2 linked regions of the Ovis aries genome follow. The protein of the gene in region 2 purifies or fractionates together with the protein of the main gene of each other region. This does not show direct contact. Links are inferred from orthologs where the notes say so. Each region holds a gene or a part of one and is shown on either strand. Other genes may lie near its edges.

Region 1 (5,220 bases), on a different chromosome or scaffold from region 2:
CCAAAGTATTGGAGCTTCAGCTTCAGCATCAATCCCTCCAATGAATATTCAGGATTGATTTCCTTTAGGATGGACTGGTTGGATCTCCTTGCAGCCCAAGGGACTCTCAAGAGTCTTCTCCAACACCACAATTCAAAAGTATCAATTCTTTGGCACTCAGCCTTCTTTATGGTCCAACTCTAACATCCATGATTTTATTAAGATTATTTTAAATGAATTCATAAATATTTCTTGAATTTCTCAATGTCAAATTTTAATACAGTAACTACAGACCATGGACACAGGATCCTGGTAGGCTACAGTCCATGGGGTCTCAAAGAGCTGAACACGACTGAACGACTAAGCACAGCATAGCATATAGACAATATCCAATTGTTCAGAAAACATAAGGAGGGTTCTGTCTAAAATAAAAGCTTAGTCAGACAAATCCCTCGATTAAAATCCTTTCAAAATCACTCTCAGTTTTCCAAATAAAAATCTGGCACCTTGCTCAAAATAGCTCATCAAATGTTGAATTTAACAGTATCTTCTAAAATTTAATATGCAAGTCTATTTTAGTTCAGGACTTCTACTTCTAGAAGAGAAGAACACATAAGAGTTCATGACTATAGTCAAGAATGTTCACTGCAGAATTATTACAATATAAAAAAATTAATAAAATCTCAATGTGCAGCAACAGGGTCTAATGCTACAGCCATAGCAAGTTGCAGAAAAACTTAGAATCCCATTTTTCTAAAAAGAAAGTCAGTAAACAGAAATATCTTTAAGCATACACAGTAAATTTCTGGAAAGATATACATCAAACTGATAATGAAAGCTAGCTCTAGGAATTAGAACACATTTTTCTCTTAGAGAAAATTGCTTTTATATTTAGCATTTTAATATATCTGAAAATTATTTTGTATGTGATATGAGATGGGTGAGTCTAATTTATTTCTAAATGAACACTCAACTGCTGCAAGACTTTTGCTGAATATTCTTTCCTTGTAGATTTGAAATGTTACTCTTATCCTATAAACTCTGTGTGTGTGTGCGTGTGTGTGTGTGCAGTACTGATATGAGAGTCCATTCTATCCCACTACTTTTAATCTCTTCCAGCACCAACCCCAAATGTAGGAAACAACTGTAGCTTTACAGTATGCATTTTGAGGGGGTGGTTAAATAATTTTGTTTCTTTTGGGCCATGCTGGGTCTTCACTGCTGTGCGGGTTTTTCTCTAGTCTTGGCAAACAGGGGCCACCCTCCGGCTATGGTGAGCAGGCTTCTGACTGCACTGACTTCTCTGGTTGCAGAGCCCAGGGCTCTAAGGCATATGGGCTTCAGCAGCTGTGGCTCCTGCGCTCCAGAGCGCAGGCTCAGTCACTGTGGCACATGGGTTTAGCTACTTGTAGCATGTGAGATTATCCCGGACTAGAGATGGAATCCACGTCTCCTGCACTGGCAGACAGACTCCTTACCACTGAGCCACCAGGGAAGCCCTACAGTTTGTTTTGACAGCAGGAAGGTCAAATCCCCTCATTATTCTTATTCAAAACATTTTGGGCATTTTGGAATAAATATTTTTCTAGGGAAAACTTTAGAATCAATATATTAATTCCAAAGATATATTAAATGTGTATGTGTGATTTAGGGAAACTTGGTTTTAGTAAAATTGAATCTCTCCATTGAGGAATATGGCATGTCTCTATTTATTCTGGTCGTTTTTTTCTGTTCTTCAGTAATAAACTTTTTTTGGTTAGAGTTAAGTTCACTTTGGGTTTTTTAGTTTTTATTCTTATTCAGTTCAGTTCAGTTCAGTTGCTCGATCATGTCCGACTCTTTGCGACCTCATGAATTGCAGCACGCCAGGCCTCCCCATCCATCACCAACTACTGGAGTTCACTCAGACTCACGTTCATCAAGTCAGTGATGCCATCCAGCCATCTCATCCTCTGTTGTTCCCTTCTCCTCCTGCCCCCAATTCTTCCCAGCATCAGAGTCTTTTCCAATGAGTCAACTCTTCGCATGAGGTGGCCAAAGTACTGGAGTTTCAGCTTTAGCATCACTCCTTCCAAAGAAATCCCAGGGCTGATCTCCTTCAGAATGGACTGGTTGGATCTCCTTGCAGTCCAAGGGACTCTCAAGAGTCTTCTCCAACACCACACTTCAAAAGCATCAATTCTTCGGCGCTCAGCCTTCTTCACAGTCCAACTCTCACATCCATACACGACCACAGGAAAAAACATAGCCTTGATTAGACGGATCTTAGTTGGCAAAGTAATGTCTCTGCTTTTGAATATACTATCTAGGTTGGTCATAACTTTTCTTCCAAGGAGTAAGCTTTTAATTTCATGGTTGCAGTCACCATCTGCAGTGATTTTGGAGCCCCCCAAAATAAAGTCTGACACTGTTTCCACTGTTTCCCCATCTATTTCCCATGAAGTGACAGGACCGGATGCCATGATCTTTATTTTCTGAATGTTGAGCTTTAAGCCAACTTTTTTGCTCTCCTCTTTCACTTTCATCAAGAGGCTTTTAGTTCCTCTTCACTTTCTGCCATAAGGGTGGTGTCATCTGCATATCTGAGGTTATTGATATTTCTCCCAGCAATCTTGATTCCAGCTTGTGTTTCTTCCAGTCCAGTGTTTCTCATGATGTACTCTGCATATAAGTTAAATAAGCAGGGTGACAATATACAGCCTTGACGTACTCCTTTTCCTATTGGGGAATATATATCCTTTTTTAAAAAATTACATTTTAAGACTGATCTTGCTGGCATTTAAGAAAGCTATTGATTTTTACAGACTTAAAACTGGTCATCTTACAGAAATCAGGTACGGAACTTCATTTTGTCATAATTGTCTGACTTCCTTAGATTCTGTGTTCAGTTCAGTTCAGTCACTCACTCGTGTCTGACTCTTTGCGACCCCATGGACCACAGCACGCCAGGCATCCTTGTCCATCACCAACTCCCTGAGTTTACCCAAACTCATGTCCATTGAGCCGGTGATGCCATCCAACCCTCTCATCCTCTGTCATCCTCCTCTCCTCCCGCCTTCAATCTTTCCCAGCATCAGGGTCTTTTCTAATGAGTCACCTCTTTGCATCAGGTGGCCAAAGTATTGGAGTTTCAGCTTCAACATCCGTCCTCCCAATGAACACTCAGGACTGATCTCCTATAGGATGGACTGACTGTATCTCCTTGCAGTCCAAGGGACTCTCAAGAGTCTTCTCCAACACCACAGTTCAAAAGCATCAATTCTTTGGTGCTCAACTTTCTTTATAGTCCAGCTCTCACATCCATGTATGACTACTGGAAAAACCACAGCCTTGACTAGATGGACCTTTGTTGGCAAAGTAATGTCTCTGCTTTTTAATATGCTGTGTAGGTTGGTCATAACTTTCCTTCCAAGGAGTAAGTATCTTTTAATTTCATGGCTGCAGTCACCATCTGCAGTGATTCTGGAGCCCCCCAAAATAAAGTAATGCCACTGTTTCCACTCTTTCCCCATCTATTGCCATGAAGTGATGGGACTGGATGCAATCATCTTAGTTCTTTTAATGTTGAGCTTTAAGCCAACTTTTTCACTGTCCTCTTTCACTTTCATCAAGAGGCTTTTTAGTTCCTCTTCACTTTCTGCCATAAGGGTGGTGTCATCTGCATATTTGAGATTCTGCGTACTATCAAACAACAAAGAGCTGAAAAGTGCAATGAAACAATAAAAACATGCTGCTCTTAACCGACACTGCATCCATGCCAGAATAAATACTGCTGTGAGGATTCAAGGCACCACTAGCGCAGTATTCCTGGCAGCCAGAAAGCACAGGGAACATAGTTTGAGGGCATGGGAGCAATCTTCTCTATTAACCAATCAGACTATGTGAAAAGGACACTAAAATGTTACAGATCTCCAAAGTATAAAACAAAGTAATTCATCAGTGTTGGAAATACACATTACCTCCTCAGGAAATCCAAATCTTTTAGCTGGGATCTTGTGAATGTACTTGTTAAGCAGGTCTTTTGTCAAATGATCATAGTTGCTAAAAGCAGTCTCGGAATAAATGGTTCCCTATGTTTAAAATAAAACAGGAAAAAATAAAGTACATAAAATTAAATTTTAATCGGAAAGACAACAAGGCAGTCTGTCATCCAACACTAACAATTAAGTGGTTTAATAGTGGTTTAAGTTCACATGTGCAATGTTAATTTTTCTCAATATGGTCAAAGAAAAACAGTCAACCTCTACTAAAAACGGATAATCTGAATGCTCATTTTGTGACCTCCCCTCCCCTAATAACCAGCCAAGCTCAGGATGTTTTCATAAAAGACCTGGCTTCTGAAAGCATAATCATATGAGCATATCAGACAAGCCCTTAACTGGGGACAATGGGACAGGGTAGTCTATTCTGTCTTCCACTAAGGCTTCTATGTTTTACGATGGAAAACTGGCCTATGGTTAAGTGGGACTCAGAAAATACAATATTTTTATGGCTTTTTACCTAGAAAGAAATCACAAACAAAAAATTTGAATCCAATATAAATAAATTAAAATTTTAATGTTTAAGAATTCTTTTATTCAACTTTTAGTAGCTGTCAATGGTTCACAAAGAAAAAAATTACTTAAAAACTGTTTTAACACAGGATAAAGCTGCTTGTTATTGGCCCATAACTAGAAAGATTATTCGAAGGAGGGGAGAAGACAGGAGGGATGAGAATATGAGGAAGAAACTTGGCAGTGTTAATTACTCCAAACAATACTGGGGTGATATACTGGTTTCTGATTAAACAATTTCTCAGGCTTTCATTTAAAAAGGATGGAATCTTCCAGAGGTATTAAGGTTTAGACATTAAACCTCAAAACATCTCTGGAGGACAAATGTGACTTTAGTATTATGGTTACAGCACCAACACATCATTAAAGGTTGTCCAGAAATGTGTATGTAGAGACCAACATTCCAAAGAATCAACATTCAGAATGGAAATCTATCCAATCTGTCCTATAAATATTTGAGAATAGGTAGAAGTTCTTGCCTGGAGAATCCCAGGGACGGGGGAGCCTGGTGGGCTGCTGTCTATGGGGTCGCACAGAGTCGGACACGACTGAAGCGACGTAGCAGCAGCAGCAGCAGCAGCAAAGGTAATGTCCGCCCCAAATGATTAAAAGGGGCTAGGAACCTGCATTTGTTAAAGATAAGATCTAACAACCACAAGTCAGCTCATGCTTAGTTCCCACTGAGTAG
Region 2 (5,220 bases):
CAGGGCCGTCCGGTTGTCTGGCTTTAGCTCCAGGCACCTGTTTGGACCGAGAGGGACGGGGCTGGTCTCAGTAGCGGCACCCTGCAATCCAAGCCGAGAGTTACCTGCCAACTCCCTCCATCCAGATACAGAGGAATTCCCTACTGGTGGGTCATTAATAAAGTCACAGATCTGAGAAAGGGGACATTTCAGCAGCTGAGGAATCAGCCAGGGTCCCCAAAATAAAACCAAAAGCTGGGGAGGGAATGGAGACAATTATTCCCAAGTTCACTCCAAACCTTAGAGTTTCATCATGAAAAAACGCTCGTTAGTGGCCAGAAAGAAGACCAGGACCTGTCGTTCTAAACGCTGTTTGTAGAGCTGCAAGACCACCTCACCCCTCCCTGACCCGTGCCTCTCTTCAGAGTACTCACTTCCGCAGCGCACTGATGGCTAAAAGTTCTTGCTCGTTCTCTGCCTGGGTGGTCCCCAGATACTGCCAAGCCTAGAGAGAAGATGCCAGATTTCATCACCCGTGTAGTCACTGTCCCTTCCTCTGGCTCCCCATGGACTCACCATCTCACTCCCAGGCCCCCACCCCAGGCCATCACCCAGACCCTAACCCTTGTGCACTACCCACTTCGGGGCCTCCCTCAGACTGGCGGAGCCCTCTCTAATCAGGTCAGAAGGAGGAGCCGCTCACTTCCATGTGCTTGGGGTCCTGCTGCACAGCTGCCTCGAAGAGCAGCACAGCGTTGGGCAGGTCCCCCTCCTGGAGCCGCCGCAGCCCCTCCTCGAAAGGCTGGGGGTGGTCCCGCAGGGGGTTCTCTTCCTCAAAGTGGTACCCCTACAAAGAAGAGGAGCCAGGTGAGACCCGGTCTCGGAAGGAGCAATCTCAGAGGGAGCAGCTATGGAGCAGTGGGAATGAGAGATGACAACCAGGACAGACAAGAGGCGGAGAGGAAGCGGAGGGCCTCCACAAAGGGATCCGGAGAAATGCTGGCAAACCCTTCATGTCACGAAGGAGACTGTCCACAACCACAGTGAAGCCAGCCCACGCTGCTACCCTGCTCCCAGCAGCTGGAAAGCCTGGCAAACTCTGATCCACACTGCAATTAAACTTATTTTTAGGAAGTCTTTATTGGCTGATATTTCCACATCCTTGACTCCTCAGCACTGGACAGAGCACATTTCTTAACAGGATCTGCTTAGGGTATGAGATAAGCTCTCTTTAGCTATTCAAAGGGCTTTTCTTGTTATCTTGCAATAGTGAGATAATATATAAAGGAAATGTGGTTTGAGGCTCTGCTATTCAAATGCAACTCTCACCCAGCTCACAGAGTCCTGTGCATACTGACAGGATTAGTATGAGTTCAACCACTTTGAAAAACTTAATTTATTCTCCAGTTTCATTCTTAAAAGTTATTAGTATTAATCTGTATCTGATAGTAAATGAAAGCTATATTCCAAAATCCTGAGGCCAGAAAAGGCTTCAGAGTCACGTCCTGTGCTAGTGGAGGTGTTCTCATTTGAGGGGTTAGGATGCGGTTGTGCTGAGTTCTGTCCCGGGGCCGTCCACGCAGCAGAGAGGTGTTAGGTAAACTGGATTCCTAGCAAGCGTGTGACTGTGACAAGGGAACAAAACGCTCCTTTGAGGAGAGCAGGGGTCACCACCACAAAACAACACACCAGAATGAAGACAAGATACAAAACACAGGACAAGGCCCTTTCTGAATATAGTTAAGGACAAACCAGAATAAAACCATGAAATAAGAACATAGATGAGGCCCTTCTTCACTATCATTGTGAAAGAGCTCAAGAACCAGAAATGCTTAATTCCTGCCAGCAAAGTTCTAAACCACTGTAAGCCATCAGATGCAAATTATTTGTGACAGATAAAAATTAAATAATTACAATGGAAATTTAAGAAATACGACATACAGGAGATGGACTTGGGATGTTGTTGTTTCTCAGTCACTAAGTCATGCTCGACTCTGTGACACCATGGACTGTAGCCCGCCAAGCTCCTCTGTCCATGGGATTCTCCAGGCAAGAATGTTGGAGTGGGCAGCCATTCCCTTCTCCAGGGATCTTTCCTACTCAGGCATCGAGCCTGGTTCTCCTGCCTTGCAGGCAGATTCTTTACTGTCTGAGCCACCAGGGAAGCCCGTGACAACCTACAAGATACAGGATAAGCCTGGGATCACTGTTACAGCTTAAGAAGTCTAACCATTAGGCCTGATCCACTGTCTGGTCTGCTCAAACTTTCATAGGATCATACTGCAAACACAGGGTCACTACCAAGTAGAGTGTATCCATCACAGAGTTTTCGCCATCATTTTAACAGTCTACAATAGCTGCTCAAGGTATGTCTGCAGTCTTGCAAATTTAAGGACCATGAATAAAAAGCTTTACATTCAGAGACCCATGAATTCCCTTGACAGAGTCAGAACCACATCTGCAGAAAAAAAAAACACTACTACTGACATATAATTCAATAACAGCAAAAGGCAGATAAAACCCGGATTGTTCATGTGATAATAAAGTTTAGCATATTTTTGTGGAACATTAATTCAATGCTTCTAATCCTAATTTTGCAATATCCCACCCAAGGTATCAATGATGTCAAAACAGGGTTCAAGAATCTAAAAACAGGGACGTCCTTGGCAGTCCAGAGGTTGAGAGTCCGCCTTCCAGTGCAGGGGACCTGGTCGGGGAACTAAGATCCCACATGCCCTGCAGCGTGGCCAAAAGAATAAATTAATTTTCTTAAACAAATAAGTAAATAGATACTAAGTTGGAGGGCAGAGATGGCCTACTACCTAACATTTTCTACCCAAGGAGCTATCAATGTTCTTAAAATGCTTTCAACCAACCTCCAAAGCAGAGCTCCTTCTTCTGTGCTCTTAACACATCATGTGCAAACCTCTGTTTCAGGTACTATGTCACTTATTATTGTTATTATTATTAACTTTTATATCCCAAGAATAAAGAATACTTTCAATGACTAGAGAAGAACATGGAGTGACCCTAATGGTAAAGAATCCACCTACCAATGCACGAGATTTAAAAGACACAGGTTCTATCCCTGAGTCGGGAAGATCCCCTGAAGAAGGGAATGGCTACCCACTCCAGTATTCTTGCCTGGAGAATCCCATGGACAGAGGTGCCTGGCAGGCTATAGTCCATGGGGCCGCAAAGAGCTGGACGCCACTGAAGTGACTTTGCATGCTAGGGAGTAATCCAGGCTTCCTTTTTATGGAAGGGGGCTCAATAAAATGATTATTTAAATGTGGGTACCCTTCAAATTCAGGATTAAAGGAGAGACAATAAAAGAAGGAAACCCTGCAACGTGAAAACAGCCACTTCTCACCTTGTCATAGGAAGCGGACGTGAGGTCATCATGGTCAGAGAGCCAGGGGTGGGCCTCAGCGTCACGCTTTGCCATCTCCTCCAACTCTGCCTGCAACTTGTCCCAGAAATCGACATCAGACTGTAAGGGAAGGAGGGCAGATAGGGAAGAAGGTCCATTGTGACGGCCCCGTCCCGCTCTCAGTGCCACTACAACGGGCTCCCCGCGCAGTAGCTCTTCCTTTCCCACGTGTCTCAGATCACCGGAAAGCTTTCCTTTGCTGCTCTTCCCAGATGCTATTTCCAGATCCTGACTCAGTGGTCTGGGAGGCCCAAGAACTGGTGTTTTTGATAGGCACCCACACCATCCCATGGCGAAGGAGATGGCAACCCACTCCAGTATTCCTGTCCGGAGAATTCCATGGACAGAGGAGTGTGGCAAGCTACAGTCCATGTAGTTGCAAAGAGTCAGACACGACTGAGTGACTATCACTCACACTCACCCCCCATCCCAAGTAATTCTGACACAGATGATCCAGAACATTATGAAATACAACGTCCGTCATCTCTAGCGCTGGGACACCCACTCTCTCCACAGGAGCATTTCCTCCTGGCTTGGTCACACTTCGCCAGCTGTTCTCACCTCTATGGCCGACTTGGCTCGTTCAAACTCCATATCGAGGGCAGACGTGTTTACTGGTCTTGTGAACTGGTCAACCCAGGCCTCTGACGTGCCCTGTAACAAAGCAGGCTGGTCATAGCACCACCACCAATTTTCTACCCACTAAACACTCAGTGAACACCCACTGGACACAACCAACCTGGGCACTTCTGAGAACATTCTCAGAATCTCTTTCCCGCCCACTCAGGACCTGGATGCTACCAAACAAGCTGGCAATAGGTTCCCTTCACCCTCTGGGACCCCTGAGCCCACGGCCGGGGGCACCAGCAGCTCCGGGGTGGGGCTGGGAGGTGACAGGAGCCTACCTGCTGCTGAATAAACTCTGCCGCCCACTGCTCTGCCTGAGCTCGGCCTGACCCTGCGCCGGACTCCAGGGACACCTGCCCCTCGCCAATCTGCCGCACGAATTTCAGGAACTGGGGCACAGAGATACACACAGGCCACTTGGGAGAGGACTTGCAGGTGCGCCCTCTCGACCATGCCCAGAGGAGCCTGCGCTGACCCCTCCCCTTGAGGACCACCTCTAGCTTCAGACAAGATACGCTAAGGACCCTGGAAAAAGCGGAGAGCAAAGAGAGGGGGATCTCTGGCTCTCAAGAATGGGAGATGGCACAGAAAGGACAGAGGGTTAGCAGGCAAGGAAGTGCAGGCAAGAAGACTCGGGGGAAGAGGCAGGGCCCTAAGTCTCTGCTCCCCAGAGAGGAAGGACTGGACCCCGGGTCCCAGCTCTTCCTGTTTAAACTAAACGGGGGTAAGGAAAGGGTTCCCCTGACTTCTTGGATGAAGCAGCGGTGGTGAGATGCAGCTCACCTCAGAGTTAGCCAGCTTGGGGTCATCCACCTTGGCCACAAAGTCACTGGCTGTGTGCTGCAGGTCCTCCTCGGGCTGGTACTCATCATACCTGGAACAGGCAAAGATGCGCTAACTGTACACGTGGGTCTGCCACTACCTTGCCCTCGCCATTCCCCCCTCCCCACCCATGGTAGTTAAAGAGTTCTCATCGGGGAACAGACAGGGTGACCACACTCCCACGAATTCCACTTTACATTAAAGAAGGACCTCTGGGCAGGAGGGGCAGAGCACTAGCTACACGCTTCTACCTCTCTCTTCCCCAAACCATCTTTGGGACAGAGAGAAGGAACAAACAGTAGCAGGCTCCAAATTAAAGGGAAACAGGTGCGTCAGATAAAGCTATGAATTCTTGGTAC

The links. Proteins that work in one complex are often made in the same cells at the same time.
Region 1: the proteins of PEX5 (region 2) and PECR purify together in Homo sapiens (affinity purification with mass spectrometry; 3 studies listed by BioGRID, with this or other methods). This does not show direct contact. The link is inferred for Ovis aries from reciprocal best matches to the Homo sapiens genes PEX5 and PECR.

What each region holds. Positions count from the first base shown.
Region 1 is NC_056055.1:218,077,257-218,082,476, forward strand, and holds part of PECR (peroxisomal trans-2-enoyl-CoA reductase), read right to left. Parts: intron 4,050-5,220; coding exon 3,939-4,049; intron 1-3,938. UniProt on the Homo sapiens protein: Participates in chain elongation of fatty acids. Catalyzes the reduction of trans-2-enoyl-CoAs of varying chain lengths from 6:1 to 16:1, having maximum activity with 10:1 CoA. Has no 2,4-dienoyl-CoA reductase activity.
Region 2 is NC_056056.1:209,073,095-209,078,314, forward strand, and holds part of PEX5 (peroxisomal biogenesis factor 5), read right to left. Parts: intron 4,914-5,220; coding exon 4,823-4,913; intron 4,429-4,822; coding exon 4,318-4,428; intron 4,067-4,317; coding exon 3,974-4,066; intron 3,473-3,973; coding exon 3,353-3,472; intron 827-3,352; coding exon 683-826; intron 485-682; coding exon 414-484; intron 38-413; coding exon 1-37.